4 linked regions of the Arabidopsis thaliana genome follow. The protein of the gene in region 4 interacts with the protein of the main gene of each other region in a biochemical or structural test. Each region holds a gene or a part of one and is shown on either strand. Other genes may lie near its edges. The genes, in order: SRF6, SERK4, AT2G14510 and AT3G03770.

Evidence for each region.
Region 1: the proteins of AT3G03770 (region 4) and SRF6 form a complex in vitro, tested with the Arabidopsis thaliana proteins (one large-scale study listed by BioGRID).
Region 2: the proteins of AT3G03770 (region 4) and SERK4 form a complex in vitro, tested with the Arabidopsis thaliana proteins (one large-scale study listed by BioGRID).
Region 3: the proteins of AT3G03770 (region 4) and AT2G14510 form a complex in vitro, tested with the Arabidopsis thaliana proteins (one large-scale study listed by BioGRID).

The regions. Positions count from the first base shown.
Region 1 is NC_003070.9:20,059,131-20,066,722, reverse strand, and holds SRF6 (STRUBBELIG-receptor family 6), read right to left. Parts: upstream 5,319-7,592; 5' UTR 4,953-5,318; coding exon 4,859-4,952; intron 4,474-4,858; coding exon 4,341-4,473; intron 4,260-4,340; coding exon 4,185-4,259; intron 4,088-4,184; coding exon 4,022-4,087; intron 3,942-4,021; coding exon 3,870-3,941; intron 3,784-3,869; coding exon 3,712-3,783; intron 3,640-3,711; coding exon 3,568-3,639; intron 3,494-3,567; coding exon 3,428-3,493; intron 3,345-3,427; coding exon 3,282-3,344; intron 3,207-3,281; coding exon 2,890-3,206; intron 2,799-2,889; coding exon 2,512-2,798; intron 2,425-2,511; coding exon 2,153-2,424; intron 2,068-2,152; coding exon 1,935-2,067; intron 1,855-1,934; coding exon 1,721-1,854; intron 1,632-1,720; coding exon 1,472-1,631; intron 1,395-1,471; coding exon 1,248-1,394; 3' UTR 1,010-1,247; downstream 1-1,009. Other genes in the region: RPT1A (regulatory particle triple-A 1A), read left to right, coding at 1-4, 101-282, 380-555, 645-802; CYP59 (cyclophilin 59), read right to left, coding at 7,215-7,592.
Region 2 is NC_003071.7:5,739,192-5,747,837, reverse strand, and holds SERK4 (somatic embryogenesis receptor-like kinase 4), read right to left. Parts: upstream 6,247-8,646; 5' UTR 5,860-6,246; coding exon 5,763-5,859; intron 5,644-5,762; coding exon 5,502-5,643; intron 5,397-5,501; coding exon 5,325-5,396; intron 4,626-5,324; coding exon 4,482-4,625; intron 3,862-4,481; coding exon 3,793-3,861; intron 3,692-3,792; coding exon 3,620-3,691; intron 3,541-3,619; coding exon 3,464-3,540; intron 2,705-3,463; coding exon 2,576-2,704; intron 2,494-2,575; coding exon 2,152-2,493; intron 2,066-2,151; coding exon 1,671-2,065; intron 1,581-1,670; coding exon 1,257-1,580; 3' UTR 1,005-1,256; downstream 1-1,004. UniProt on the Arabidopsis thaliana protein: Dual specificity kinase acting on both serine/threonine- and tyrosine-containing substrates. Positively regulates the BR-dependent plant growth pathway and negatively regulates the BR-independent cell-death pathway. Required during SCOOP small peptides (e.g.
Region 3 is NC_003071.7:6,170,088-6,177,672, reverse strand, and holds AT2G14510 (Leucine-rich repeat protein kinase family protein), read left to right. Parts: upstream 1-2,577; 5' UTR 2,578-2,596; coding exon 2,597-2,702; intron 2,703-2,812; coding exon 2,813-3,356; intron 3,357-3,449; coding exon 3,450-3,925; intron 3,926-4,118; coding exon 4,119-4,263; intron 4,264-4,337; coding exon 4,338-4,409; intron 4,410-4,488; coding exon 4,489-4,560; intron 4,561-4,628; coding exon 4,629-4,709; intron 4,710-4,801; coding exon 4,802-4,950; intron 4,951-5,158; coding exon 5,159-5,355; intron 5,356-5,442; coding exon 5,443-5,569; intron 5,570-5,665; coding exon 5,666-5,731; intron 5,732-5,847; coding exon 5,848-6,037; intron 6,038-6,134; coding exon 6,135-6,540; 3' UTR 6,541-6,731; downstream 6,732-7,585.
Region 4 is NC_003074.8:944,206-951,665, reverse strand, and holds AT3G03770 (Leucine-rich repeat protein kinase family protein), read left to right. Parts: upstream 1-2,427; 5' UTR 2,428-2,787; exon of another isoform or gene 2,788-2,870; 5' UTR 2,871-2,962; intron 2,963-3,163; 5' UTR 3,164-3,229; coding exon 3,230-4,565; intron 4,566-4,659; coding exon 4,660-4,793; intron 4,794-4,886; coding exon 4,887-5,127; intron 5,128-5,223; coding exon 5,224-5,429; intron 5,430-5,502; coding exon 5,503-5,546; intron 5,547-5,714; coding exon 5,715-5,826; intron 5,827-5,905; coding exon 5,906-6,218; intron 6,219-6,340; coding exon 6,341-6,363; 3' UTR 6,364-6,589; downstream 6,590-7,460. Other genes in the region: AT3G03773 (HSP20-like chaperones superfamily protein), read right to left, coding at 26-38; LBD20 (LOB domain-containing protein 20), read right to left, coding at 6,993-7,403.

The sequences.
Region 1 (7,592 bases), on a different chromosome or scaffold from region 4:
TCAGGTAATTGATTGTGAACACTCCTTTTTGCTACTTGAGTTTGTCAAGCCAATGCTGCTATATTTTGTTCTGAATTGTATAATAATACTCTCTTTTCAGATGGCACGGTCCAAGAAAGCCTGCATTGTGTTCTTTGACGAAGTTGATGCCATTGGTGGTGCAAGATTTGATGATGGTGTTGGTGGTGATAACGAAGTCCAACGTACTATGCTTGAGATTGTGAATCAGCTTGATGGGTTTGACGCACGTGGTAACATCAAGGTTCTTATGGCAACAAACAGGTCAGTTACGATTCCCTCTTACCATCTTCAAGTAAACTACAAAACCCAATAATACTGCTTGACTCATTGGTGTTTCTGTATTAACTCTTCAATCCAGGCCTGACACACTAGACCCAGCTCTTTTACGTCCTGGACGTCTTGACCGTAAGGTTGAGTTTGGTCTACCTGACCTGGAGAGCAGAACACAGATCTTCAAGATTCACACAAGAACCATGAACTGCGAAAGAGACATCCGTTTCGAACTCCTTGCTCGCCTCTGCCCAAACTCAACGGGTATTGATGATCCCTTGACCATGAAACAGCTTTTCTGTCTTTTGGAATTTGTTCTGACTTTGGGTTTTGTAAATCTTGTCTTTTTGCAGGAGCTGATATTCGAAGTGTATGCACTGAAGCAGGAATGTACGCAATCAGAGCTAGGAGAAAGACTGTGACTGAGAAAGACTTTCTAGACGCAGTGAACAAAGTCATTAAAGGTTACCAAAAGTTCAGTGCCACTCCCAAGTATATGGTCTACAATTAGAGAGATTGAGACAGATAGAAGAACTCCGAAATAAAACTCCGAAACACTCTTTGTTCTTTGTTTGTGTCTCTTCCCTTCAAGCTCTTTTGTAGTACTTGTTTCACAACTTATTCCAGTAACTCGGGTTTATCTTCTTCAATGTCTACTACTTTTGGATTCATAAATTCTTTGTTAAGTTTTTTTTTTTTTGTGAATTCACGTCTTTTGAAATTGATAACAAGTTGATGATCAAGAATTGAACCAAGCCCAAATAGAACCAATGTAGAAGATTACAAGAAAGAATTTTGTTCATGTAAAGGATCTAGAAGCTACACCTTTGGAACATACAATTACAATAAAACAATGGGATTATACAATGTATGAGGTTGCTTTTTTCTATCTTCCAATTGTCTATGATTAACATCCGACGGAGCAAAGTGTTTGTCTTTTCTCTTGGTAGAGGCATTTACATGTAATCACTGGTCGTGTCGGCACTACCAGCACGTTGCGATGGATCAACTCCGACAGTTCTCTTGCTCATGTTAGCTCTCTGCACTAACACAACTAGAGCCTGCACAACTTCAGACATTGGTGGTCTAAACTCCGGCTCCGGCTGTTAAGAAACAAGACCCAAAATCAGTAAAAGACTTTCTTGAATTTGCAAGACTCGATTTGTGACCATTAGTTTACCTGGACACAGAGAGCGATAACATCTGCAAATCGAGAAAGGGATTTGACAGGATAAAGCCCTTTAAGAGCTGGATCAACCATTTTGGCTAAAGCATCAATGTCGTGAAGTTGTGGTGTCGCCCATCGAACCAGTGACTGCTCAGATCTTGACCTTGTGCTGCTCAAATTATAACCAGTTGTAAGATTCAAACAGAAACACATTTCTCAACTACATACATCAAGCCTAGTTTGGATCATAATAGAGTTTACCTGTCAAATGGTTTTCTCCCAGTTAAAAGTTCAAGCATCACTACTCCAAAACTGTAAATGTCACTCTTCAAAGAATATTGGCCTGACATTGATACTTCAGGTGCGCTATACCCTTCATCGGTTTGGTTTAATAACTGCACATATCAGAATGATCTAAGCAACCAAATAAGTTGAGAAATGGTAAAGAGTTTTGAGAAACGTTTGTATATCCAACCTCATTAGCTGTGGGAAGGAAGCTTGCGAGACCAGAATCTGATAAGTGAGGATTCAGCTCTGAATCGAGTAAAATATTAGCTGATTTGATATTCTTGTCCACTATAGACGGTGAGCAAACTTCATGCAGATACCTGCAAGAACAATACTTTCAGTTAACCAAAATACTCGTTTCTTTTTTAATAGTGAGCTAAGCAATGAATTGTTTATGGAATTTACTCCAATGCGCGTGCAGTCCCAAGAGCGATCTTGACTCGTGAATTCCACACCAATGCTTTACTTTCCTCTTCTGATAAGTGTAAGAAGTCATGTAATGATCCATTTTTGTGGAATTCATAGACCACGAGATGTTGTCCGTGCTCAGCACAGTAACCAACAAGCTTGGTCACATTTGGATGATCCAAATTGGCTATTTTCGATACCATTTCAATGAAATCATCGGTCATGCCATGTGGGAGAGCAGACGAATCAATTTTCTTCACAGCAAGAACCTAAAAGATAAGACGTTTTCCAACAACATTATGACATCATTCGAGACATAGAGATTAGGATTACATAACAATATTATAATATCTTACCTTTCCATCATCAAACTCAGCTCTGTATACTCGTCCAAAAGTCCCTTCTCCAAGAAGATTATCTACGCTGAAACTGCCAGTAGCAATTTGGAGATCTGCAACTGAATAGAGTCTCACATTTGAAGGAACCACCACTGTGGATTTCTTGACAGCAATAGGCTTTCTTGTCGAATCTTCATCATCAAATGATTTGTTTCTATCAATTGGTGGAGGTCGAAGATTAATAGACAATGAAGTGTCCAGTTTCTTTGTCTCAACTGATGAAGAACTCTGAATGGAATTGTTTTCTGCAACCATATGGAGTCTTAAGTTGATTTTTCTTTGTTTAAATCTTAAATTATGTTCCAAAGGCAAAATGTAATGTATATGTGTGCATACCGTGAAAGTCGTTTGAAGCAAGAGTGAAAGGCTGGTTATCGGTTTTCTCAATGTCCATGGGTGATGACCTCTTTGATTTTTTTCTTCTGAACAAGAAGAAAGCAACAAGAAGAGCTGTAACTACTAACAATGAAATGATTATGCCCGCAATTGCCCCCGCTCCGATTCCTGATTTCTTGGAATCTCCATTTCTGGTGGACTCATCACTAGACCGGCTTTCACGTCCTCCAGATTTACGGCTCGGGGAGCCACGGATAGGAGGTGTACCAGGTGGTGGTGGAGGTGCAGGTCCAGTATTGAATGAGTTGCCATCTTTTCTGTTTGCAAGAAACAAGAAAAGTGAGATTAAAGGTTTAAAGAAACAAGCAAATGTGTGTGAAATGAGAACTTACATTAATGTGATGCCCTTTAAAGAACTGGGGATCCACCCCGTGAAGTCATTGTTCGCAATGTTCCTGAGGAACATTCAAGAAGAACCAAACGTTAATAAATGTTTAAGAAAAACCAGCTTCACGTGTAATAAGGTTTAGTTACTCACAGAGTCTCAAGAGGAAGACCGGCTAAGACATCGACTGTGCCTGAGAACTGATTGTTCTGAAGGTATCTGTGAGAAGTTAAAAGCCACATGTTTAGTAACTGGTAAACTTTCAGTTCAGTAAGAGGTTCCTGAAAACTTACAGTGATTTTAAACTTGTTAGAGAGGAAAACGTTGCCGGTAAAGAGTTCGTGAAAGAATTGAAAGAGAAGTCCCTGAAACACATGTAATCTTGTCAAATATCTTAATGTGATAAAAACCCTTGAGTATCTTTACTAAGATCTTACAAGGTTGTGAGAGAGTCGAGCTTGGAGAAGTCGATAGCTATCTGCCCCTTAAACTGATTGTGACCAAGATTGCTGAATTGTTTGCACAAGACAAAACATTAATATTCACATCTTTATGAGAGATTTCGAGAGAAATGTGAAGTAAGGCAATTACTTACAGATACTTAAGTGGTGTAATCTGAGAAAGTGAGTACGAAGCAGCTCCAGTGAATTGATTATTCGCAAGGTTCCTGAAACACCGACGGTTATAAACTCGAGAGCACAGATATTACATTAGAAACCAAAACAAAGGAGAATTGATGGACCGTACAATCGTTGCAGATTTGGAGGAAACTGATATGGTAAATCACCTCCAAGATTATTGCTGCTTAGATCACTGCAAGTTCCATCAAAGATTACAAATTAGAAAACTCATTATCTCTAAACACGACTTCAAGTAATAGTTTGGAGGATTAGACAGAGGGTGATCTTACAGCTCGGTAAGAGAAGTCAATTTATCAAGCATGTATCCTCCAAGAGTTCCAGAGAGCTCAAGACCTGACAACTTTCTGCCAAGTAAATATAACACAACTTATGTTAGATATAAATCAAAGCAGGAGACAAGAATATTGATTACAAAAATCACAAACATTTGAGTAACTCGTGAGCCGGAACAAGTGACGCCTCTCCAATTCTGGCCACAAGGATCACCAGCTGCTGCAGTCCATTGTGTTAGCTGAGCTGGAGAATGCATACCACTGAACAATGTGTTCAATGCTGAAGCTGCACAAATTAGAAAACAGAGACCATTAAACCACAATCCAATCAACACAAATTTAACCACAAATCAGTTCCTGCTTTAAAGTCCACTTGAGATCATCAAGATTATATATAAACTCTATAATGTTTTGTTCTCAAGATTAGGAAACACACAGAGAAGTGAAAGGTTCAAGCTTTAGCCCAAAAAGACTGAACATATTTGAGATTTGGAGAAAAGCCATTACGCAAAGTACATATTTTTGAGAAAGGTAAAGATTGAAACTGTGGATGAAGAGAATCAATTGAAGGATATACGAAAAAGATAGAGACTTTGAACAACCCACTCAGCTTAAAATCAATCAAAAGCGAAATAAAGTGAAGAAGATTCTCAGAAGAAGAAGAAACTCACTGTCTGATGCATCAGTAGCTCCATGGATGAATCTAAGCTCAAACCCTACAATGCATAGTGTAAACAGAGCCACCACCGCCCAATTCTCCCTCATCTTCTTCCTCTCTCTAGAACGATAAGCTAAAGTCTAGTCTTGTGAAAAAGCTTAAGAAAGAAAGAGAAATCTAGAAACTTTTTTTTGTGTTTGTTTTGAATTCTAATAATTTCTTAAGTAAAAATTTGATGACAGATTATATAGTGTTTCGTTTAGCTCGTAGTAAACGAATTTTTACAGAGTAAAGCTGTCAAGCACGATTTTAGCAATAAGCTAAGAATCCAAACCCACATAGGAGATTAGGCTCTTTTGTTTCTTTCTGTTTAAGTCTTTTTTTTTTCCCTTCTACTCAATAATATGAACATTAATTACAGTATTATTATGTTCCTTCCAGATTTATCCACAATAATTTGTTCATTTGTTGGTGTATCATGATTATGGTTTGAGTTTGACCCATTATTTATTCACAATAATTTGTTCGTTGGAGGTTGTATCATTGTATTTTTGAATTTCATTTCTTTAAAGTTTTTAAAGGTTGCTTTTAATTTTACACAATGGATATCACTATGAAGGTTGGCTAATGGCTATGATTGGCTCTTTAGTCTTTAAATTGTCCCATCATGCATTTCATCGTGTTTTTTTTACTTTTACGTTTTTTTCTCCGGCTTTTTTTCTAAGTTTATATACTAAAGAAATTAAAAGAGGACGACGTTGTGTGTTTCCTTTACTAAAACTAAGTCAATGTAAATACGAAAAGAAAGCTAATTTGTTTACCAGAAGAATATGTGTAATTAATTTGTAGCTAACTTGCGAAAATAATATAAATATATAACATTGATACCAAAAGAAAAATACCAAATCCCTGAGGAACTCTTGAACTCAATTATAGTTGTTCTGCTTGGTCATACGTATCTTGCATAGTAATTCCAAGTTTGTAATCAATTTTATCATGACATTTAATCATTAAATAATAGTTTATCAATTATTTGTACGTGGTTTGCAAGTTGTAACTAATAATAATAATAAGTTGTAACTTCTTCGTTGAACATCTCGCATGACCATGTGTGTATCCGCTGTCCTTGATTTCTCTTGACTATTAACTTAATTTTTCTCATAATCGACGAGGCACACAAATTTTGTGTTAACTTATATTTTATCTCAGCTCGTATAGTCTTTTTGGTTGTCTCTGTTTCGTGTAAGTATGTGCTAATGTATGCAGTTGATTGTGTGAGAAACTTTTCAATGTTTATTATTCAGGCAGCTGAATCTTAACTTGAACTGTCAAGCAAGTGCCAGCGAGAACCGAGTATGGGTGACAAAGACATTTAATTTAATTTTATATAACTACGAATTCATATATAATTATTAAATTTTTCAAAATTCGTAGTTTTTGTTGTTTTCTTGTATATATGATACAGAGAATCTTAAGTCATCTTCAGACATTTCCATATATTGGTTTCAATATTATTCAGATAAATAATACAGAGAATATTATTCTGTGTATACTCACAGTTCAACTAGTTCTGTGTCACTCAACAAATACAACCATTTTTTGTGCAATTACGATTTTATGATCTAATGGTCTCTTAAAAAAAGGAATGTAACAATGTAAAAACTATTATACGATATATCAAACATGTTGAATAATAGACCAGGTTGCTTCCTAACTCACACGACAACTTCTCCAGTTTTGTCGGTGGGAAACTTTTTTTAATTCTCTCTGTCTATTATCATAAGTTAATTATTCATTTTTTTCTTCTGTTAATGATTATACTAATTACGACAGATGTGCTGTCGTTTTCCTCCAGCCAAGACATACGGCGTGCCGTTTTATTTCCCGTCAATAATATTCTCGTTATCCAAAACAGTAGGTGACCTAACTTCGCGTCAATTGGTTTGGTCGACTTTGAAGAATGATCATTAATTTGTTACATTACATAACGGTGTGTGTGTTTTTTCTTTTGCTTCTCTTGACTTAAAAGTTAACGTTATGCAAGTTAGTTTGAAAATTTATTGAATCTAAGAACGTGAAACTCATAACATACCGCAGATAACAACAAAAGACTCTTAGAAAACAGTTTAAAACATGACTACTAGAATTGGTTTGGTCTCTTTCTTTAACTGTTTTATCATCTAATGCCTCGGAACTTAATAGAGAGAATTTAGAACTTCACTAGTCAAAAAACTCAAAAGATACATTTCTCCGTAGTTCAAAAACCTCATTAATACAAATCCCACTAAACACTATAAACCTTAACCGCATAGAGCAAAAATGAGAAGCCCATGATTTCATCTATCCCTTAAAATGAGAAGCCCATGATTTCATCTATCCCTTCTCTCATGTCTAGCTTCTCTTCCATGTCTATCGTCTCTCTCTCTTCTCCTCTCTTTATAATCTCTATGACTCCGATGATCATCTTCGTCTCTCTCTCTCCGACTCTCTTTATCTCTAGACTCTTCACGGCGTCTTCTTCTTCTTCTGTCTTCATCTTCCCTACTCTCTCTTTCTTTTCTCTCTCTGTGTTTCCTCTCCAGTTCTCGTGCGTCTTCCCGATCATGCTGTCTTCTACCATCATCACGTTCATCTCTGTGCTGTCTTTTGCCTTCCCCATTACCATGAGGACTTCTCCTCTGAATCTTCTCACTCCTCTCCCTCTCATGACTATTATGCTTGGGGGTTTCATGCACATCACCCTCAAA
Region 2 (8,646 bases), on a different chromosome or scaffold from region 4:
TATTTTAAAATTTTGAATCACAATATATGCAAAAAAAATGGAGATTTTTCTTAACTCTATTTATTATTTGATGATTCAAAATAGCTTCCAAAATAATCAATCAAAGATGATAGGAAAATTACGGAATTGTGTTTTTCGCCAAACCATGTTTTCCTGCAAAAACAATAAAGTAATGTTTTTCCCGCTAACATCGGAAGATCTTATTTTTCACCAAAATAGTAAAATCAGTTTATATATGTTAAATTAATAATTTTGAAAATTATTTTGATGTAAATATATTTTAGAGCAACAATTAGATTAATATAGCTAAGATTAAGATTAAAAAAAACTGATTAGACAAAAGTATGAGTATTTTGGTCATTTGGTTATTAAACTCATCTAGATGGAGATGAAGATTTATAAAAATTAAGCAAACAAACAAAAATTCATTTAGATGATCCATCCAAATGAATATCCAAAAATTGAAACGAACATCATTCAGATGGAGCATTTGGATAGAATATTGAGATGGATCATATGAATGGAAATGTCAGATGATCAACCGAACAGACCCTAAATATCTATATTACTCTCTCTGTTTCGAATTATTTGTCATTTCAGGATTTTGCACATAAATTAAGAAAATAATTAAATATTCTACTTCACCCTTGTTCAATATATTTTCTAATTCTTTTTCATTGGTTAAGACATTAAAACAGTGAGGATAAATTGAAACTTTTATCGAACATCTATATTGAAAATCTAAAACAACAAATATTATATATGAAACAAAATTAAGTGCTAAAACAACAACTAAAGTAAAACAAAGGGATTATTAAATATGGAATATCAGGATCACAATTCCAGATATGATTTGACCTGATCCAAGTACAAAATGTACCTCAAAAATACTAATATAGGTGATATAATGTATTTTTTTTTTTTTGTTAAATTACGTATTTATACTAGATATATACAATAATTTAATTTCAATTTCTTTTTCAAACAAAAGAATAAATTTAATCAAGAAGATTTTGGTGGGTTCGAACCCATAATTCGAATTTCACGGAAAAATATTGTTAAGCTTTATTGGTTGGTAAACATCTTGCTTTATGCTCAAGTGGAGTAATGATATTCTTTATTCGTCAAGAGACACAAAACTACTTATAGAGGAGTTGATATTCAAAAGTGCATGGGTTTTTTTTGCATCTTAAAACTTCACCAATCTATATATATACTTGTTGAAGAACCCACAAGAAAAGACCCTTTCTAAAAGGTTATCTTGGACCCGAGGGGTAATCGTTTTCGATAAGGGAATTGGAATAGGGGATGAGCCAGTCAGTGCCAGCATGAGGATAGGCTTGATAGTTAAAATCATGTATTGGCATCTCCTCCTTTTGCCATTCTTCCCATCTCTCAGCTAAACCATCTCCTTCCAGCATTCTCACTACTTCTGACATCTTTGGACGTTCCATTGCAGAACTTTGAGTGCAGAGCAGAGCCATTTGTATCAGCTGCTCCACTTCTGTTTCCACGTACTTTCCTTCGAGTTCTGCATCCACAAGGCTTTCCAACTTCTTCTCTTTCAAAACCTCTTTCACCTAATCACACCCAGAAAAGAAACACTCTTCTTTATTGCAAAATAACAGTTTTGAACTCAAAAATATGATCGGGAACTATTAAAAACATACCCAGTCGAGTAACATGATATCATCATCATTTGCAAGCCGAGCAAGATCGAAAGCCTTTTGTCCAGTGATGAGCTCGAGAAGCATGACCCCGTACCCAAAAACATCAGTCTTCTCAGAAGATTTTCCTGTCGAGAGGTACTCGGGCGCTATATGGCCAATTGTACCGCGTACAGCAGTTGTCACATGGGAGTCATTATAATTCATTAATTTTGCGAGCCCAAAATCTCCAACAACAGCTTCAAACTCTTCATCTAACAATATATTAGCAGCTTTAACATCCCGGTGAATGATTTTTTGGTCGCAATGATCATGTAAATACGCAAGCCCCCTTGCTGATCCCAGAGCAATATGCTTTCTTTTTGGCCAATCAAGTGCTGGATTGCCTTCAGGACGCTCTAAAATAGAAAATCAAGGATAAGATACTTCCCAACTGACCAATCAAAAACCAGTCAAACAATACTATAGGACAAAGTTGTGGTACCTCTTAAACAAGAAGCAACACTTCCATTAGCCATGTAGGGATAAACAAGTAATCTTTCAGTTGGAGTCATGCAAAAGCCACGAAGCCGAAGCAAGTTCCTATGAACGGCCATACTGATCATCTCAACTTCGGTTTGAAACTGCAGTTCCCCACCCTTGGTACGTTCTTCTTTTAGCCTTTTGACAGCCACTAGATTGCCATCGGCTAAACGTCCTTTATACACTTTACCAAAACCACCTCTACCCAATACATTTTTATTGCTAAAGTTATCAGTAGCAACTAACAGTTCACGCAAGGTAAACCTTTTGAGTTGTCCTAAATGAACCTCTGGGTCTTCTTCAGCTGCAAAGTTTGGTCCACCAAAACAGATAAAAATCAGCCAAAGTAGCTTCAATGGGAAAATAGATGAAGAGAGTTGACTAACCAGGTACATCAAAAAAGTGGTCCTGTGGTTTTCTTCTGAGCCACCAAGCAAACGCAATGGCTGGAACAGCAAATAGAAGTGCTGCACCTGCAGCAACTCCCCCTGCTATTGCTGCAGTCATTTGCCCCCCTGATAGTATGAGATAACACACAAAGTTTATTAATACAGAACTCATTCGCAGTGAAGAGTTTCTATGGGAAAATAGTTAATTAATCAACCAAGTGGAACGTTTGAGCAAATGTGAAAAGAGCTAATACATTTTCCAGATCAAAGAGTTTCACAAGTGTCACATAGATCTTTGTGTCCCACAAATTGTCTATAAACACTCTTTTTCTTATAGTGTCCATTAACCCTTTATACTTCAGCAAATTAGCAAGTTCACACTTGTTTCATAATTTCCTTTTTCAGCAATGTCCATGAATTTCTGTTTCTACTAAGTCAAGCTGCCAGGTTCAAATCTATGTCACACTTATCATCTTCAACACCGATCAGTGTAAAATGATAAAAACTCTAGTAAGAAGTCAGATTTTTTCATTAGCAGGTTACCAATCCTACCAAAGACATGTGAAATATATAGATACGAATATAATTATGTTCCAAATATAGAACCATGAAACAGTCAAAACATATACATATCCACTAAATTTCTTTCCACATTCGAATGTGCAGCCATAAATAAAAAAGAATATAGTGGTCTAAGGTCATACCACTGTAGATAAGATTTCAAAAAGTAATTGAGTGCATGAGAAGGGAGATATAACGTTAGGCTAAATGTGAGAATGCCATACAGCATTCACCCATTAAAGATAAGAATAAAGAAGGAAGTTGGAAACTGAAGAATGTAAAATAACCGACAAGAAACACTAAGAAGAAAATGGAAGTGAAAACCTGAAGGTGGTGGTGGCGTAGGAGAGGTAGAAGTAGGCGGAGGTTCGGGAAGATCCGTTAAGCTATTATTCGCAAAACTGCAGATAACTTCCAAACAATTGGTAATTCATTCTGACAACTCTAATCAAGAATAAAGCTAGGAACACGAAGGAAAACCTGATAGGAGTGAAGAGCGAAAAAGAACCATTAACAGGAATATCTCCACTGAGCCGATTGTTTGAGATATCCCTGCATTTCAGGATGATACCATTTGTCAGAGCTCAAGATTGCACTAGAATATATTAAAAAATATTAAACAGAATAATCAGGAGAGACAAAGTTACACTCACAGAACTTGCAGCTGCACAGAAGTCAAAGTCATTGGAATTTCCCCTGATAAGCTATTGTTGTTAAGACGCCTAACCACATATAGTAGAATGTCAAACATTGAAATTAACCACTAAAGGAATTTAAAATCACTTAACATCCAGCAAAATACGATTTATCTACAAAAATAATAACAGAAATTAGAGCTGATGTAAGATCTTATCCAACTGCATAGAACTTTTAGGGCAGTGACTGAATTTGTTTATTGAATTTGTACACTGAGTCTCTAACTACTTCTGAAAAATTCATGATACACATGTACACATAAGTTTTTGATTATAGAAGATTCACAGGTCTCTTTTTTGATAGGACATGGCCTCAGGTTCTATCCAAACCTGAGGCAGGTTATTATCAAATATCATCTTACAGGCACGAAATAATGACATACAACTAAATTCATCATATATTCAATGGGTAAGCTTTTACTAAAGAAATCAAATTTCTTCTACTTGACTAAATGCGGGGTAGCAAACTAGCAAAACAAGGCTGCCTATAACAACCATCTCCCTGAAATACTTACACAAGACCGTGACCTTCATTAAGGTCTGAATGTTAGACGCAATAGTTTTTTAGCAAAGAAATACAACCAAACTTTGAAACTGTAAGCAATGAAAGCTAGCGGTAAAGAGAAGAAGCAGTTTATGGTACATACAAGAACCGGAGTTTTCCTAGTTTGCCAAGAGACGAAGGGATGGGACCGCTTATGCTGTTTGCGTAAAGATCCAAGCTTACTAGTTCCACCAAGTCGCCAAGCTCCTCAGGTATCTCCCCTGTAATGTTATTGCTATAAAGCTCCCTGTCATTAAGCAAACCTGTCATTAAGCTTTGCTTAATTATTGTCGATTGGAAAATCTCTAAAATTATTTTACCAGAAATTCAGGCTACAGAAAACATAATGAAGTATGTAATAAACAAGATACCCATTAATATGAAGAACTATAATAATCGTAGACAGCTAAGATACATGAACGTGGAAACTATATTTGTAAGCAATATTTTCAAAAAAACATTTTGCAGCCGCAACACAAATATGTAGAGTTGAGATCACCTGTAGAGAAATACCAGATCCAAACTCTCCAGTTACTTATCTAATAGAGTTAAATGAGAACATTTGACATAGAGAATTCAAAAAATAAAATGTCTTTCATAATGCCATGGTTCTAGCTGAAAGATGATTATAAAGGATTCCAGTAACAAGGCTCGAGAAGCCTAGCTAAAGAGATCTAAAATGGCACTGATTGGTGATTACCAACGATATCAAAAATAAATCGACATATATATATATATTTCAGATGCATCAACCACAAGAGAGCGCACACACATAGTTTTCTACTCTGAGAAAAAAATTGTTTATCCACAATTCTCTTTTGAAAGCAAAAACACAACTATGTCACAGTCATTAAACAAGTAAGATGAAGCATATGATATGCATAACAAATTCAAGTCCATCTTGAACACTATAGAATTAATCGACATTGAGGAAGAGATGGCTTACAAGTACTGCAAGTTTAAAAGCTGACCAAGTTCTGGAACCAACTTTCCAGATAGTTTTGCATTCCCAAGGTCACTAAGCAAACATCAAACAGTAGATTCCCAAAGGGATTATTGAACCATTCATTCAGACAAAACCAGCACAGAGAGCAAAAAAGAAGACAGAGAGAGAGAAACATACACACGAGTAACTTTATTCTCAGGATTGCAAGTAACATGAAACCAAGTACATGGAGTAACAAGAGTAGCATCCCAGCTTTGGAGTACATTGTTTGCAGGGTCACCTGATGACAAACTGTTTTTCAGCTGAGTCAAAGCATCACCTGTACACATATTCATAATCCAAACCAGCAAACAAACAAAAAAAGTTATGAACTTTCGAAATCTAACAACCACCAAAAAGGAAGGGACTTTTCATGAGAGTAGCAGAAAAAGGAAGAACCTTCAGCGTTTCCAGCGACTCTGAGAGTGAAATTGAATAGTAGGAGCAGATAAAGGAAGCAAAGGAGTGATCTTTGTTCCATTTTTGAACTTGTCATCAGAGTAAAAGCAAAGCCATTATTATTAGAGGTTTATTAATTCCAGGGACCATTTGGTTGATTCAGCCGTTGACGAAGACAAACGAAATAAAGAGAAAGGTTTGTTCTTTGTAACGCGTATTCGACATTTGACCAAGTTTCGAAAGAAACCCAAAAATCGAATTCTCGACGAAACCCCAGAACAAAAAGTCGAATCTATTTGGATTGATGATCGTGGACCCCATTTGAGCCAAAGAAGGAAGACTTGGAACAGAGTAAAGACTGATGATGGCGAGAGGAGTACTCACCATTGCTGGGCATAATATCCAAACCCAACACCCGATCCGAATCCAATAATAACCTGATCCAACCCGAACCCAAATTTTCAAAATACCCAGTTTTATTCCAAATCCAAAAAAAATAAACCCAAATCCGATTCCAACGGGTTTCTGTACATATCCACAATATAAATATTAATAATATATTATTATTAATATTTATATTTGTAATAATTTGTGTCAAAATATATAAATTTTGTGATATTTATAATATTTATAGGTATCTAATCACTTTTGAATAAATTTGGGTCAAAAATATGGGAGATTTTCAAAATTACCCTTTTTTTACTACTCTTTTGCAACAATACCCTTTTATATTGTTTATTTTTAAAAATATCATTTCCCTTGAACAGAATGACCAAATTACCCTCATCTAATAAGAACATGTAATTGGAAACTGAAAGTTTCCCGCCAAATTTATTTTTCCCGCCAAAAAAAAGTTTCCGCCAAACCTTTTTTCCCACCAAAAAAAAAACTTTCCCGCCAAAAAAAAAATTTCCTGCCAAAATTTTTCTCGTAAATTTTTTTTCCCAACCAAAAAAATGCTTTTAAAAATCCTTGTAAATTTTTTAAAAGCTTTGGTAGTTGCCAAAAACCCTTGTAAATCATTTTAAAACCTCTTAAAATCTTTATAAAGTCTTTAAAAACATAGATAAATACTTTTAAACCGCCTTTTAAACCTTTGTAAATCATTTTAAAACTTTTTACAATAGTTTTACAAGATTTACAATCGTTTTTTAAGCATAAGTAAGTGACATTGAATGATTTACAAGGGATTTTAAAAACTTATAAAAGGGTAAAACATGATTTACAATCGTTTTAAAGCATAAGTAAGTGGCATAGAATGATTTACAAGGGATTTAAAAAGTGTTAGCATGGTTTACAATCGTTTTTTAGCATAAGTAAGTGACATTGAATGATTTACAAGGAATTTTAAAAACTTATAAAAGGGTAAAACATGATTTACTATCATTTTTAAAGCCTAAGTAAGTGGCATAGAACGATTTACAAGGATTTTTAAAAATGGTTAGCATGGTCTACAATGTTTTTTTAAGTATAAGTAAGTGACATTGGAATGGTTTACAAGGGATTTTAAAAGCTTATAAAAGGGTAAAACATGATTTACAATCGTTTTTAAAGCATAAGTAAGTGGCATAGAATGATTTACAAGGGATTTTAAAAGTGTTTAACATGATTTACAATCGTTTTTAAAACATAAGTAAGTGTCAAAGAATGATTTACAAGGGATTTTAAAAAAGGTTTGCATAGTTTACAATTGTTTTTAAAAGATAAGTAAGTGGTATAGAATGATTTACAAGGATTTTAAAAGCTTATAAAAGGGTAAAACATGATTTACAAGAGTTTTTCAAGAGTTTGAAAAGGATTTTAAACATTTGTAAATCCATTTAAAACTCTTATAAAGTCTTTACAAGCATTTTTTAACTTTTAGAAAAAGAATTGTAAGTATTTAAAACATTTACAACTCTTTTTGAACCATTTTAAAACTCTTGTGAACCTTTACAAAATGTTTTAAGAAGATTTACAAGAGTTTTTAAAGGGTTTTCTTATAATTTTTTTTAAAATCTTTTTAAAACTCTTGTACATCTTTTAAAACCTTTTAAAAATCTCTTGTAAATCTTTTAAAACACTTTTAAACTCTTTAAAAATCTTTAAAAACTCTTGTAAGCCTTTTAAAGCCCTTTAAAATCTCTTGTAAGTCTTTTAAAGCCCTTTAAAATCTCTAGAAAATCTTTTTAAACCCTTTTAAAATCTCTTGTAAATCTTTTAAACCGTTTTAAAATCTCTTTTAAAACCCTTTTAAAATCCCTTGAAAATCTATTTCCCGCCCAAAAAAAAAAATTTACGGGAAATTTTTTTTTTGGCAGGAATTTTTTTTTTCAAAATTTTTGGTGGGAAATTTTTTGGCGGGAATTTTTTGTTGGAAAATTTTTGGCGGGAAATTTTGGCTGGAAATTTTATTTTGGAATATTTTAAGCGAAAAATATTAATATTTCATTTTGTTAACCTAAATCAATTTACAAATAAGGGTAAAATGGTCATTAAAATTTTAAATAGGGTATAAATGAAAATGGTAAATAGAAAAGGGTAGAATTGAAAAAGGGTAGTATGAAAAGGGCATTAAAAAGAATTTTTCCAAAAATATTCAAGATTTTTAGATATTTTGTGTATTAGTAGTTTGGACAGATTTAGTTATAAACGATTTGATTTTCTGGGAATTTCAGATAATTCGAATCCGAATCAGAAATGTCTGATCCGAACCCGAAATCTAGGAATATCCAAACGGGTTCTATATCTCTAAATCTAAAAACCCAAAAATCTGAAATACCCAATGTCAACCTGAACACCCACCGCTAACTTATGCCATTATGTGACCATCTTGTAATCTGAGTGTCATTATAAATATAATATCTCTAAATTATCCTTAAAAAATAACAGAAGAAATGGTACA
Region 3 (7,585 bases), on a different chromosome or scaffold from region 4:
TGGTGGGCATATCTATTGTCTGGATTCAAGATCTAGTTAATTACTCTAGATCTAGCATTAAGATTAATCAAAGATGAAGAATTCTACAGATAAGCTAACAGGGGAGCGATCTACTAAACCATATGAATCCCTAATGAGAAACCCTATTCCTAACAAGCAGACTACTCAGACATATTGAATGAAGCAAACAACATATTTGATATAGAAAGCATAAACACAACAATAAAGATAAGAGTTAGAAAGGATCTCTTCACTGTATTGAAAACTGAATGAATCTCTGAAGAACAATGGATGAATAGCTTATGTCTCTGAAAATAGGGTTTGCAAAGAACTTGATCAAAGAAAACTTAGGTCTAAAAACAATATAAAAACCCTATAAAATGTTCAGGGACTAATAATGCAAATAGGGAAGTCTTCTGGGGCAAATTTCCTCTTCTGTAAACTTGAAAGCGTCATGGACTTTGCTGGGCCGAAACTGGTGTCGATCGACACCAGGAGTGTGTCGATCAACACTCCTCTGAAACTGGAACTCAAAATCGTCTTTAACTTCCTTTTTCTTATCTTTTGCTCCAAAATGTCTCCTTATCTCCATTATCGTCCCACTGCATAGAATACCTGAAAAGACACTAAAAAGACTCGAGAAATAACATAAAGACTCAAAATCCTATACCTAAAACATAGATGAAATCAGTGAAAATAGGGATATATCAAGTCCCACTTTAAAAACACCTCTCTCTCTCTCTTCTCTCTCTCTTCTCTCTCTCTTCTCTCTCTAAACTTTTCAGAGAGAGAGAGATTTTGATCGAGATTTAGCCGTCCGGTACGCTTTACCGGCTTATGAATCCGGATGTGATCCGGTTTTGTCGATCCATCTCGCTGTCCTATCTCGCCATCAGGTGTATCCGGCGGTTCTCATGGCTATTCTGTTGCCGTTGTGTTTGTTTCACCGAATTGATTTGCGAAACAATTTGATATCAGTTTTTTCTTCTTTTCTAACTAGAAAGTTTCATGGTCTATTCTCGATCTGTCCCACCACCATCCACAATCAGGTAAGTGTTTTGGTGTTTCGATTGGGCGACTGTTTTAGTCTCATCCACATGAATCAAAATTCAGATCTGGGCGAATTATGGGTTGCTTGGCTCCTTCCAACCGTTATAGTTGAAACGGTCCGGCGTTTTTGACGGTTTCAATCACCTCATTTGAGGTCCGTCTTGCCATTCCAAGAAGTCAAGGTATCAATTTCCAAAGTCTATTCTTATTAGCAAGTGATGACAAGAGATCAGAAGCTTCACCTCGTCGTTGATTGTTTGTCGACGACTTCTTTCATGCTTTTGTTTTCGGAAAAGATCCAGTGATGAGAAGAGAAAGAATTTGAAGATTAAATTGAATCCTTTATCTTTTTCGGTTTAATAGCTGTCTGTTTTCATAATCCGGAGATGTTTCCGGTTGTTCACTCGCTGGAAATTGTGTCAGCTTCTGTTTGCATATTTCGCTGAAGGGGTTGTGGGTACCGGTTTACTAGGTTATCCGGTTCACCCGGTTTGTAAGATTGGTTTATGAATAAATATCCCTTTGAGAAAAAATCAAATAATAATCAAACTTATGGATATATAGAAAACAGATAAATAATAGAAGACTAAATTTTAATTATATAGTTGTATTGTTGGAGATGGATCCTAATCGGAAATATCAACATGCATGTACCAATAAAAATAAGGCACGTCCAATGTTGAACTAATCGTCTCAGCCAAGTAGAATAAATTTGATGGGATCTTATGGTAAGACTTTTTCGAAGTGGGAGTATAAAATCTTATAAGTGTGTCACGTCAAAATTATATAAAAGTGTTGGTTGTAGTATGTAAATGTTTTTTCGTTGAGATTTTAAAAAGTTTTGATGTAATGTGTAATTTCATTATACTCCCAACAAAATATTTTGTACATGAAAATTTGTTATTTGTTTAACAACAAAGAAAGAAAAATTGTTTTTGAAAGCAGCAAACATACATACAGGGTTGGACCACGAACCTAATATAATCATGCATGTATGTTTACTGCTTAAAAAAGTATTTGAAAACATAAGCAGCAAATATACTTTTTCATTTTAAGAAAGAATTTGAAAGCTATAAAATCTATTATTTTAATAGAAAATATATTTTTACGTTTTAAAAAAAACTGAAAATATATAAAGTCTAATTATACAATATATAGTGAACTTTGATAAGTAATTAATTAACATAAATATCTTATTTTCTAACCGTCTAATGGGACAAAATATTGTGTTTATCAATTATGAATGTTTTTTTTTTTTTGTATATATTGAACCTAAACCAAATTATCAAATATCAAAGCACTTCTAATTTCTTCGTATTAAACTTTCCAAACTAATATTAATTTATTACACTTCCATGACAACAACTAGGTTTTAAACATATTATTTTAGACTGTTATTATTTTCAGCCACTGATATTAATTTAGCTCATTTTCTATTTGGAAGTGACGTGTCCATATGTTGACATTGTCAACTTTGTACTTTAAGTTCTCATAATATAATGTGTTAAGACTTTTTGGTGTGTTTGAGTTTTTGTTTGGTTGAGAAATGAGAAGTAGAACAGAATCAAGAATGGAGACTCGTAACAAGTTTATGCTACTCGCTTGTGCCACTTTCTCCATTATGTCTCTTGTTAAGTCTCAAAATCAACAAGGTATTTTTACTGTTTTACACTTTTTCATTTTGTTTCCTTCATGTTTTTGATATATGAATTATCTCAAACAAAAGAAATCTTGTTCCGATTGTTACTTATTGTTTGACCAGGATTCATCAGTTTGGATTGCGGATTACCGTCTAAAGAATCTTATATCGAACCATCGAGTAATTTAACATTCATATCAGATGTCAATTTCATCCGAGGAGGAAAAACTGGTAATATCCAAAATAACTCACGTACAAACTTTATCTTTAAGCCATTCAAGGTTTTGAGATACTTTCCGGATGGAATTAGAAACTGCTACAGTTTGAGTGTGAAGCAAGGCACAAAGTATCTAATCAGGACTCTTTTCTATTATGGAAACTATGACGGTCTTAATACTTCTCCGCGATTTGACCTCTTTCTCGGTCCAAATATTTGGACAAGCGTAGATGTGCTAATAGCGGATGTAGGTGATGGAGTTGTCGAGGAGATCGTTCACGTCACAAGGTCTAACATCTTGGACATATGTCTCGTCAAAACAGGGACAAGTACACCAATGATATCAGCCATAGAACTAAGACCTTTGCGATATGATACTTATACTGCTCGAACCGGTTCCTTAAAGAGTATGGCGCACTTCTACTTCACCAATTCAGACGAGGCAATACGGTATGTCAACAACATAACAGAATACTTTATATTTAGTACCATGTGTTTTTTTTTTTTGCTCATTGACATAAACTTGATACTTGAGTGTCGCAGTTATCCCGAAGATGTCTATGATCGTGTTTGGATGCCATATTCACAACCGGAATGGACTCAAATAAACACAACCCGGAATGTAAGTGGCTTTTCGGATGGCTACAATCCGCCACAAGGTGTAATTCAGACCGCCTCCATACCCACTAATGGCAGCGAGCCATTGACCTTTACATGGAATTTGGAATCCTCTGATGACGAAACTTATGCTTACCTTTTCTTTGCTGAGATCCAACAATTAAAGGTCAATGAAACTAGGGAATTCAAAATTTTGGCGAATGGTGTTGATTACATTGATTATACTCCATGGAAGTTTGAAGCAAGAACCTTATCCAACCCTGCACCACTAAAATGCGAGGGAGGGGTATGTCGTGTGCAGCTGTCAAAAACACCGAAGTCGACTCTACCACCACTAATGAATGCTATAGAGATTTTTAGCGTCATACAATTTCCACAATCGGACACAAATACGGATGAAGGTATGTAGCCGTGTAGTTTTATGCACATATATAAAACGTAATAAGTTGGCACTTGGGAGACAACCATATTAAATGCTTTAGTCTACGGCTTAAGAGGATGTACGTGCTTAGGCTCAGAACCTCTTAGTTATTCAAAAGAATAAAGTAGTAATAAAATACGGCATATTTTATGCTTGATTCTTTTGTTTGCCAGTCATTGCTATCAAGAAAATTCAATCAACTTATCAATTGAGTAGAATCAGCTGGCAGGGCGATCCATGTGTACCTAAACAGTTTTCATGGATGGGTGTAAGCTGCAACGTTATAGATATCTCCACACCACCAAGAATCATCTCATTGTAAGAAAATTTATATTGTACATATTGTTATCAAATTATATGACAAATGTATCTTTGATATGTCATGCAAATAGAGATTTGTCTTTGAGTGGATTAACTGGAGTTATATCGCCTAGCATACAGAACCTAACTATGCTTCGAGAATTGTACGTATCTACATAATTTGAATTAAAAGGAAAACAATTGCTTTTGATTGGTTAACATTTATCTCTTGAAACATTATAGGGATTTATCAAATAACAACTTGACTGGAGAAGTGCCTGAATTTCTAGCCACTATCAAACCGTTGTTGGTCATGTAAGTTACCTAAATATTATTGTGTTGTCTTCATTAATTAGTTTCTAATGATTTCTCCACATCCACAGACACTTAAGAGGAAACAATCTTAGAGGTTCTGTTCCTCAAGCCCTTCAAGATAGAGAAAAGAATGATGGTTTAAAACTATTGTAAGAGTCTGTTTTTCGATGATCTAGTTTTGATTATTATCGACACATTTTTATATAGTTAATATTTCGTCAATAACGTTTTCATTTTTTAGTGTTGATCCAAATATAACGCGGCGCGGGAAACACCAACCAAAATCCTGGCTGGTGGCGATTGTTGCATCTATATCTTGTGTGGCCGTTACTATAATCGTGTTGGTTCTCATCTTCATTTTCAGAAGGAGGAAGTCATCAACACGCAAAGGTAAGTTAATAAATATATGATCCTAAATATATAAATATAAAGACCCTAGGCGAAACTTAGAGGTCGTCGATTCGAGTGACGCTTGGGACAAAACTTATTACATGTTGTGGTTTCGGGCCTGAGGGATTATCGGCCCAGAACCTCCTAGTATTCAAAAAAAAAAGAAAAAGTATGAAACCTAATGGATAGTTAAATTTATTTTCTGCAGTTATACGTCCATCATTGGAAATGAAAAATAGAAGATTTAAGTATTCAGAGGTCAAAGAAATGACTAACAACTTTGAAGTTGTTCTCGGTAAAGGAGGCTTTGGTGTTGTTTATCATGGTTTTCTCAATAATGAACAAGTAGCCGTCAAAGTTCTCTCTCAATCATCAACTCAAGGCTACAAGGAATTCAAAACAGAAGTACTTAATTACACTACAATCTTCCATTTATGTCTTTCGACAATCATGAGCTCATGAATTATACCATATTGTTGAATATATTGTTAGGTCGAACTACTTCTAAGAGTTCACCATGTGAATTTAGTAAGCCTTGTCGGATACTGTGATGAAGGAATTGACTTGGCTCTCATCTACGAGTTCATGGAAAATGGAAACTTAAAGGAGCATCTTTCGGGTAAACCATTAGAGTATGATACAAAGATTTTTGAGTTACATGCCAAATGCTTTAAAATTTTCTAACGATTTATATCCATATTGTGTATTTTGGCAGGAAAACGTGGTGGCTCTGTCTTGAATTGGTCGAGTAGACTTAAAATAGCTATTGAGTCTGCACTAGGTTTGTAGAAATTTATTTAATGCCTAGCATTGTTACTTTTTCTCAAGTTGATTTATTCTTCTTTCTTCGAGACTTCATTTTTATGATTAACATATGAAGATTTTTCTATGTACTAGGAATTGAGTACTTGCATATTGGATGTCAGCCGCCAATGGTACATAGAGATGTAAAAAGTACCAATATACTGTTAGGTCTACGGTTTGAAGCCAAACTTGCCGATTTCGGACTTTCAAGATCTTTTCTAGTGGGAAGTCAAGCTCATGTATCAACAAATGTTGCTGGAACTCTTGGATATCTTGATCCCGAGTAAGTTCTAGTTCACATCACATTATAGTATTCAGGATATGTTTCCTTGTATGTTTAGTAAACAAAAACCAAAATATTTCAATTACTTTTCTTGCAGATATTATCTAAAGAATTGGTTAACAGAGAAGAGTGATGTTTATAGCTTTGGAATTGTGTTACTTGAAAGTATCACTGGTCAACCTGTGATTGAACAATCGCGTGATAAGTCTTACATAGTAGAATGGGCCAAGTCTATGCTTGCAAATGGTGATATTGAAAGTATTATGGATCCGAATCTCCATCAAGATTACGACTCAAGTTCATCTTGGAAAGCTCTTGAATTAGCGATGTTGTGCATTAACCCTTCTTCCACACAGAGACCAAACATGACTCGGGTTGCTCATGAGCTTAATGAATGTTTGGAAATATATAACCTTACTAAAATAAGGAGCCAAGATCAAAATTCAAGCAAGTCCTTGGGACATACCGTAACTTTCATCAGTGATATCCCTTCAGCTCGTTAATCTTTTCATCTATATATTTGTGTTTGAAAGATACGTATAGGTTGTATTAAAAACTTATCATGCTACGCAGTTTACTCCTATTTGAATTGCATTATTTACATTCATACGTACATGTTGTATTAAAAGCTTCTCTTGCTATGCAATTTACTCTTATGTCCGTTCATGTAAATGTTTAGACGTAAATATTTATGGGCAATTGACAAAAATAACAGCAAAAAAGGTTTTTCTTCTAAAATTAGCACAATATTTCTAAAATTTCACAAATGACACTATAAACTTCAATTAAACTTAATTAAAATATAAGATAGAAAATAAAAATGAGAGCAAACACTAATCTAATTTAAATTGAATCAATTTTTTTTTTAAATAGTGGAAATATATACTATAAATTAGAAATAGAGAACCTAAATATAATAGGGAGATTTGCAAATTCTACCCATTTTCTAGTAACATTTTGCAACACTATCCTTCTCTGTTGTCCATTTTAAAAAATATCCCTTCTCTTTAACAAAATGACCAAATTACCCTTATCTAATACGATGTAATTAGAAATTAAAAATTTTCCTTGGAAATTTTTTTCCCGCCAAAAATAAATAAATTTCCCTACTAAAATTTTTTTCTCCCATAAAAATTTTTCTTCCCGCCAAAATTTCTTTCCCGCAACAAATGTTTTCCCAGCTAAAAAAATACATTGAAAAATCCTTGTAAATTTTTTTAAGAACCCTTTATAAACTTTAAAAAACCTTGTAAATTTTTTAAGAGCTTTATAAAGTTGTTAAATACTCTTGTAAATCATTTTAAAACCTCTTTGAATCTTTATAAAGTCTTTAAATACATATGTAAATTCTTTAAAACCCCTTTAAAAACCTTTGTAAATAAGTTTAAAAGCTTTGAGAAGCAAGAAGAAGCTTGTAAATCCTTGTAAAATGGTTTAAAAGATTTACAAGGATTTTAAAAACCTTTGTAAATCATTTTAATATCTTCTTAAAACTTTTATAAAGTCTTTAAATCATTTTTGAACTCTTAAACAAAACTTATAAATAAT
Region 4 (7,460 bases):
TTTATTAAAAAACCATAAAACTTACACCTATCACACATTCGGCCACAATTAGAGATTTTATTTCACAATTTGGCATTTTGCAATAATAATAATTTAAGCTAGTTACTATAAAGTAAAAACAAGAGCAAAATGGAAAAATAGGGATAAATGAAATGAAAAGACAACATGTGTCATAGTTTGTTACAAATCATAGATCAATGATGACACATCACACATGCTACTTGCATAACACTTACAACTACACAGATAAGTAAAAGAAAAATTGGTCACGAGATGTGTATAAATAAAATTCCTTTACGTTGATTGCATTATATAACACTAAATTTATTCAAACTTGTCTATATGGCATCGTCAAATTTTGACATATTAAGATATTACTATTCTTAATGAATTCTAAAGTCGAATAAAATTAAAGGATTAGTTTGAGGATGCGGTTGATAAATTAGCAAATGATCACTTCACAATTACGACATACCTAACAAAAACCACAATAAATCTTAATGTTGAACAAACCATCTAACCTAATTTATTACACCGCAAGACGAAAATGACACACACACACACACTCCTCTAGGCTCTAACGTACGTCTTAATTAAGTATTTGCTTTCGCTTTCTACAAATCACTTTAATGTAGTGTATATATATTTATGTGATAAAAACAGAATAATGTAACATATGAATGCATGATAGTAATCAAGAAAAAAACATAAAATAGTCGTATAAATGTATTTCTATGAAATAATCTCAAATTACTTCACTTAGCCAATAAATTTTCATAATATATTAATTTTATAGTTGCCAGTCGATCAATTTTCACTACCAGTTAAAATAGTCGTATAAATGTATTTCTAGCCGTTATTAATTTTCTTTTCGTCTACCAAATTAAAGATCAATCTTTTTTTGTTAAGGAAAAAGAAATCGAAATTGGAAATTACCACGTTCTATTTCGTATTGTTTAAAGTTGGCTAGTCGATTATAAGCTGCACCAACAATTTTTAGTTTTATTTAAACTATGATTGTATACGACGACATTGACTATTGAGACATGCAACCAACAGATACAAAACAAAACTAACCAAAAAATGAAACACGCAAAATGAAGGAAAAAAATAAGATAAATTAAAATTAAATATTTATTCCTAAACGATGCACAGAAAAATCTAACAGAAGAAGATGCTTATATAAAACCAGGTGGACTAAAATTTCACAGAATTTTGTTTTCTTATGTTTGTAAGCATTTACTTTACTTGTTTTCTTATACCTGCAACTATGAATCATATTAAAAAAAACTACAAGATTAATAAAAAGATGAATCACTCATGGCACGTGAGAGTAGTCAAGAGATTAAGACATCATGCCTTAGTTTCAATTTAATATGATTAAATACACGAGTTTAGTTTAAATTGTTTGTTAATTTGATTTCCAATTCCTTGCATGTTATTCTTTATTGATCATATTATATGTGAGCTAATTTGTTGTATTAAGATTGTTTTCTTGAACTTTGAAAAGGTCGGAGAAGATTGGGACCTACATGTGTCACTTTAAAAGTCTGGTGTGACCTTTCTGATGGAGATGCCTTCGTGCGAAAGCTTACATTACAGTATGTGTCACAACTTCGCTTTCTTTTTATTTTCACCTTAAATATATATATTACCTCTTTCAGATTTAAGTTTTTGGATGGATCTTTTTTTTTTCTTTCAGTTTGGTTTTAAGCCTAGTTTTTGATAAAATTCCGGTGTAGTTGTTGTGGTTTTTATGTTTAGTTTGTTTTCAGCTTTCTTACATGATCAAAATTCAAAACAAAATTAGAGTTACACTAATTTACTTGGTTTTGTTTACTCATTCTTGATTAATCTTGTTTAACTTAGCATACCCAATTAATTGATAGACAGACTTTTCTCAATCAAATTAATATTCATATAAGAAACTTTAAAAAAATATCAAAATTAAATCTATACTATATAAAGACTTGTTTGCCTCAGACTCGTATTTGTAGATCATCCCCCTAAAGGCCTAAACCCTAAAAGAATATTTCTCTTATCATTACCTTTTTATCTTTCTTTTTTTTTTTGTCTTTTTACTTTTTCTTGGCCACAGCTTTGGCTGGAGTGGATTTCTCTTTGGTCCCTATTTTTTTGAAAGTGATAATATAATATGAACATATTTAATGCTGATAAAATAATTTACTTTGTGTACTGTATAAATAGTGAGACAACCAAAAATAAAAAGATCAGAAAAAAACGTCGGCCAGACCCTGTTGGATTCGCTTTTTTTTTTTTCTTTTTTAATTTGTTAAAAATGCATGTGAACACTTACAAGATTATTTTTTGGACAAAAAAATTCTATTTCTATTTTGTTTGTTTGTTTTAAAATTATTTTTGTAAAAAGAATTTATCGTTGTCTTCATCTCGTGATGGAGACTTAGAGAGGAGGACCAAACTCTCTGTCGTTAGCCACTGACAATTTACTAAATCGTATGGTTGCTAAAATGTTTTTGCATTGATTTTACAGAATTTGTTTTTGTTTATTGTCTATTTAAAAAATAAAAAAAGTTTGTTGGGTTAATATTGTTCCCAGAGTATCCTCTGTTTTATTCTTATAAGATATAATAATCACTCGTGAAGGAATCTTGAATGTTTTTAAAGCTCCTTGAGGAACTTTCATCTCTTACAGAGGATTTTCTTGGGAACTTTTCTCACTTTCTTCTTTAAATCAAGTTGCTACTTTTTTTGTTTCTTTAGATAAAATCGATATTCCATTCACAGTTACTTCATAAGTTTGCAGAGGTATTTCTTCATCTCAAAGGAAACGATTTGTCTTTTCATTTTCTCATTCTTCTTACTCTGATGAAACCAAATTTTGTTTCCAGGAAAAATAAAATTTAATCTCTTGTGCTCAAAAGTTTCCTGCATCTTTTCTTCTTGCAAGGTGTCTTAAAGAGGAGATTCTGTAACACATGTGGTGAGTTCTTCCTGTTTTTCTGGAATTCACATGCAAAAATCATATTTTTTTAGTTTGAAGATTGATTTCTAAGATTCTCTTCTGTTTAATGCATTAACGAGAAAGTGGTTAAAATATCAAGATCTTGAGAGTGGACCCTGTTTTGTAAGTACATTATATATAAATGTGATTCTTGAATGAAATGTGTCTCTCTCTTTGCAGGTTTTGATGATGATGCTTATATGATTTTATTTAGTAGTTGTGTGTGTTTTATGGTCTTGTGTGGCTATGGAGAAACTCTATTGTGGCATGCCGTTACTGCTTCTGGTTCTGCTTTTAGCTTCCATTGATGGCTCTACACAGCTACAATCATCTCAATCTCAAACCCTCTTGAGGCTGCAACAGCTTCTCTACTATCCCAAAGTGTTAAACAGCTGGAACAACTATACAGATTTCTGCAATTCTGAGCCAAGCCCTTCGCTAACCGTTGTGTGTTATGAAGATAGTGTAACGCAGCTTCACATTATAGGAGACAATGGAACTCATATGTTACCAAAGAGTTTCTCAATAAACTCGTTTGTTACTACTCTTGTTAAGCTCCCTGATGTTAAAGTTCTCACGTTTGTGTCCCTTGGGTTATGGGGTTGGTTACCTCAGAAAATCAACCGTTTATCCTCTTTGGAGATTCTCAATGTGAGTTCCAATTTCCTCTTTGGACCAATCCCTCATGAACTCTCGTCGCTTGCTACTCTTCAGACGCTTATACTCGACGAGAATATGTTTTCTGGTGAGTTACCGGATTGGATTGATTCTTTGCCGAGTTTAGCTGTGTTGAGCTTGAGAAAGAACGTGCTTAATGGGTCATTGCCTTCTTCTTTGAGTAGCTTGTCAGGTCTTAGAGTTCTTGCTTTAGCTAATAACCGGTTTAATGGAGCTTTGCCTGATTTAAGCCATTTGACAAACCTTCAAGTGCTTGATCTTGAAGGAAACTCTTTTGGACCGTTGTTTCCTCGGTTAAGTAACAAGCTGGTTACTCTTATACTCAGCAAGAACAAGTTTAGATCTGCAGTTTCAGCTGAAGAAGTAAGTTCTCTGTATCAGCTTCAACATTTGGATCTTTCCTACAATACATTCGTTGGTCCATTTCCTACTTCCTTGATGTCTCTTCCCGCGATAACTTACTTGAACATTTCACACAACAAACTCACCGGGCGGCTTTCAGCAAATCTTTCTTGCAACTCACAGCTGATGTTTGTAGATATGTCATCAAATCTTCTTACCGGAAGTTTGCCTACTTGCCTTAAACCGAGTTCCGGCACTAGCAGAGATGTTGTCTATGCAAGCAACTGTTTGGCTACTACGAATGAAGATCAACGTCCAGTTTCTTTTTGTAGTAATGAAGCTCTTGCTGTTGGAATCCTACCACAGAGGAGGAACAAAGTTTCCAAAGTGGGTATTGCTTTAGGTGTAACCGCAAGCATTCTCGGGGTACTTCTCCTCGCCGGTGCCTTATTTGTGGTTCTTAGGAGATTAAATGCTAAGAAAACAGTGACGAAATCTTCCCCAAGATTGATTAGAGAGAATGCTTCAATGGGGTACACATCGAAACTACTATCAGATGCAAGTAAGAGGATAAAATATCTCTCACATATTGTCACATAGATTACATAGAACTTGTCTTCATTGATAACTTGTGCTGTAACTGCAATACTTTGAAGGGTATATCTCTCAAACAATGAAGCTAGGAGGGCTCGGTCTTCCAGCTTACAGGACATTCTCACTGGAGGAGCTCGAGTATGCAACAAATAACTTTGAATCCTCTGCTTTCATGGGTGAAGGTTCTCAAGGACAGGTACAGCAGTGAAGCTTCAATCTTTCTTTAGCTAGTTTCCATTTTTTGAACAGTTGAATCAAACAAGATTTTTGTTTTCATTGTTCTTTTCAGATTTATAGAGGGAGATTGAAAGATGGATCCTTTGTGGCAATTAGGTGTCTGAAAATGAAGAAAAGTTGCAGCACACAAAACTTGATGCATCACATTGAGCTCATCGCTAAACTGCGGCACCGTCACTTGGTTAGTGTGCTCGGGCACTGCTTCGAGTGCTACTTGGATGATTCAACAGTCAGCAGAATGTTCTTTGTCTTTGAGTATGTCCCAAATGGAGAACTCAGGACCTGGATTTCTGGTACCACACTGAAACATCATGTGTTTTAAGAATGAAGATGATCATTATATATTTTTTAATAACTAAATCGGATTGTTCTTGTCTCTGCTGTGCTAGATGGGCACATGGGAAGATTGCTTACTTGGGAACAACGCATAAGCGTAGCGATAGGTGTAGCAAAAGGGATCCAGTTCTTGCATACCGGTATTGTGCCTGGTGTTTATGATAACAACCTTAAAATGACAGACATTTTGCTTGACAATAACCTTGCGGCGAAACTCAGTAGCTATAATCTTCCATTGCTTGTGGAAGGTCTTGGAAAGGTAAATGACGATGTCAAAAGTTCGAATGTTTTTGTTTCTTGAATTTTGAATCTCTTTTGCTTTCCTTTCTAAGGTGGGGCAAGTAGGATCTCGGAGCGGACCTAAAGGCACTCCAAGGTGTGTAATAATCTTCTTTACTCTGTTTCTCATCAGCTTGTAAACCCGGTTATATGGTTTAATCCTCTGTTTCTCAAAAGAATCAAAAACGGTTTATATGGTTTAATCCTCTGTTTCTCATCAGCTTGTAAACCGGTTTATATGGTTTAATCCTCTGTTTCTTAACAGCATCAAAGACGAAGATAAAATCGATATCTATGATTTTGGAGTGATATTGCTTGAACTTATAGTGGGAAGACCATTGAGAGCAAAGAGTCAAGTCGATGTTCTAAAAGAGCAGGTAACACCATTCGATATATATGTAGCTTGATGTGGAATCGCTATCATCTACTTTAAAAACTCTTTTTTATTTGTTGTAGTTACAAGCAAGCATTTCAGCGGATGATGGAGCACGTAGGAGCATGGTGGATCCAACGGTCCATAGAGCTTGTTCAGACCAATCACTGAAGACAATGATGGAGATATGTGTAAGGTGTCTCCTTAAAGACCCTTTAGAACGTCCTTCCATTGAAGATGTCCTGTGGAATCTTCAGTTTGCTTCTCAAGTTCAAGAAGGTTGGCTACAAAACAGCAATCCCTCGAGCAATCTCGGCTCGCCTTCTCCTGCTGCTTCCTCTCTTCCTCCTCCCTCTCGTTTACACGTAACAACACTCGAATCTCCCCGAGATTCAGGTATTTTTGAACTCGATCTTTTATGATCAATTGATTCAGTTCAGAATAGAATTTGATTGTTAAAGATTTGAGATTGAATAAGTTTATTGATCTGAGACTTATTTGTGTGGTTGTAATTGCAGGATGTGAAGAACATGAGAGGTAGAGAGACGAGGGTTTTTGTTTGGTCTTGTTCACTGATCACTACTCTTTGGAAAGAACATAACCTTTTTGTTTGTAATTTGATGTTTGTTTTTGTTTTTTTGTCTTTAGTTGTGTTGAGCTTAAACGATCATAACAGTTAATAATATAGTTAATTTTTCTTATAAACTTTACTTAAAAGAACAGTGTCGGTTAATTTTTATTCTTCAAAAGGAATACAAGTCCAACAATGGTGAGATAATTTTGGAAAATTCAATCGTTTTTTCTTCCTGTTTTGTTCAGCGAAAATAAATTAAAATTGTATATAGAAATTGAGATGGAACCGATTTCTAGGGTTTAGAAAAGATTTGCTTGATTGATTCTTCTTGTCCAAGAAATCAAAATAGAGGATAATGGCTGGTGTTGGATCATCAAATCCTTTACTTATTTATTAATTTGGATTCGTATGTAAATTCAGTTAATTCCAACTAGTATGATAATTAACCAATAACTACATGCATATATCTCATTCAAATATTTCACGACAACTCTACATGTATAGTATACGTCTGCTGGATATACTTATTCTCTTTCTCAACATTATTATAAAAACGGAGATATATTTAAATTAAAGACAAACCCTAGGTAATACATTCATCTCCGGTGAAAATCCTCCGCCGGAAATATAACCTTCGAAGCCACCGCCGTCGATCCAACAGCCACCGAAAAATCAGCACCGCTCTCTTCCTCATCCTCATGCTGATAATCTCCTCTCCTTTGCTGATGCGGTGGCATTGGCTGCAACGAATGTTCTAAGTTAGTCGGAGCCATGACGTCATAGCTGACGGCTGCTGCATCTGCCGTCATGGTGAAGCTGTTCATGGCGGCTCCGGCGAGAGTGGTGGAGGCGGAGGAGTTGTTGGAGTATTCGGGTTGTTGCATAACGACTAATTGTTGTTGCTGTTGTTGGTGATGAGTTTGTTGTTGCATAACGTTGGCCATTGCGACTCTACTGTTTATCAGTTGTGATTGCACCACCGATAACTCCGCCTGTAGCGAGGCCACCTAATTAATTTATGGTTAGAAAAGTATTTTTTATTTAATTATGAGCATCAATTATTT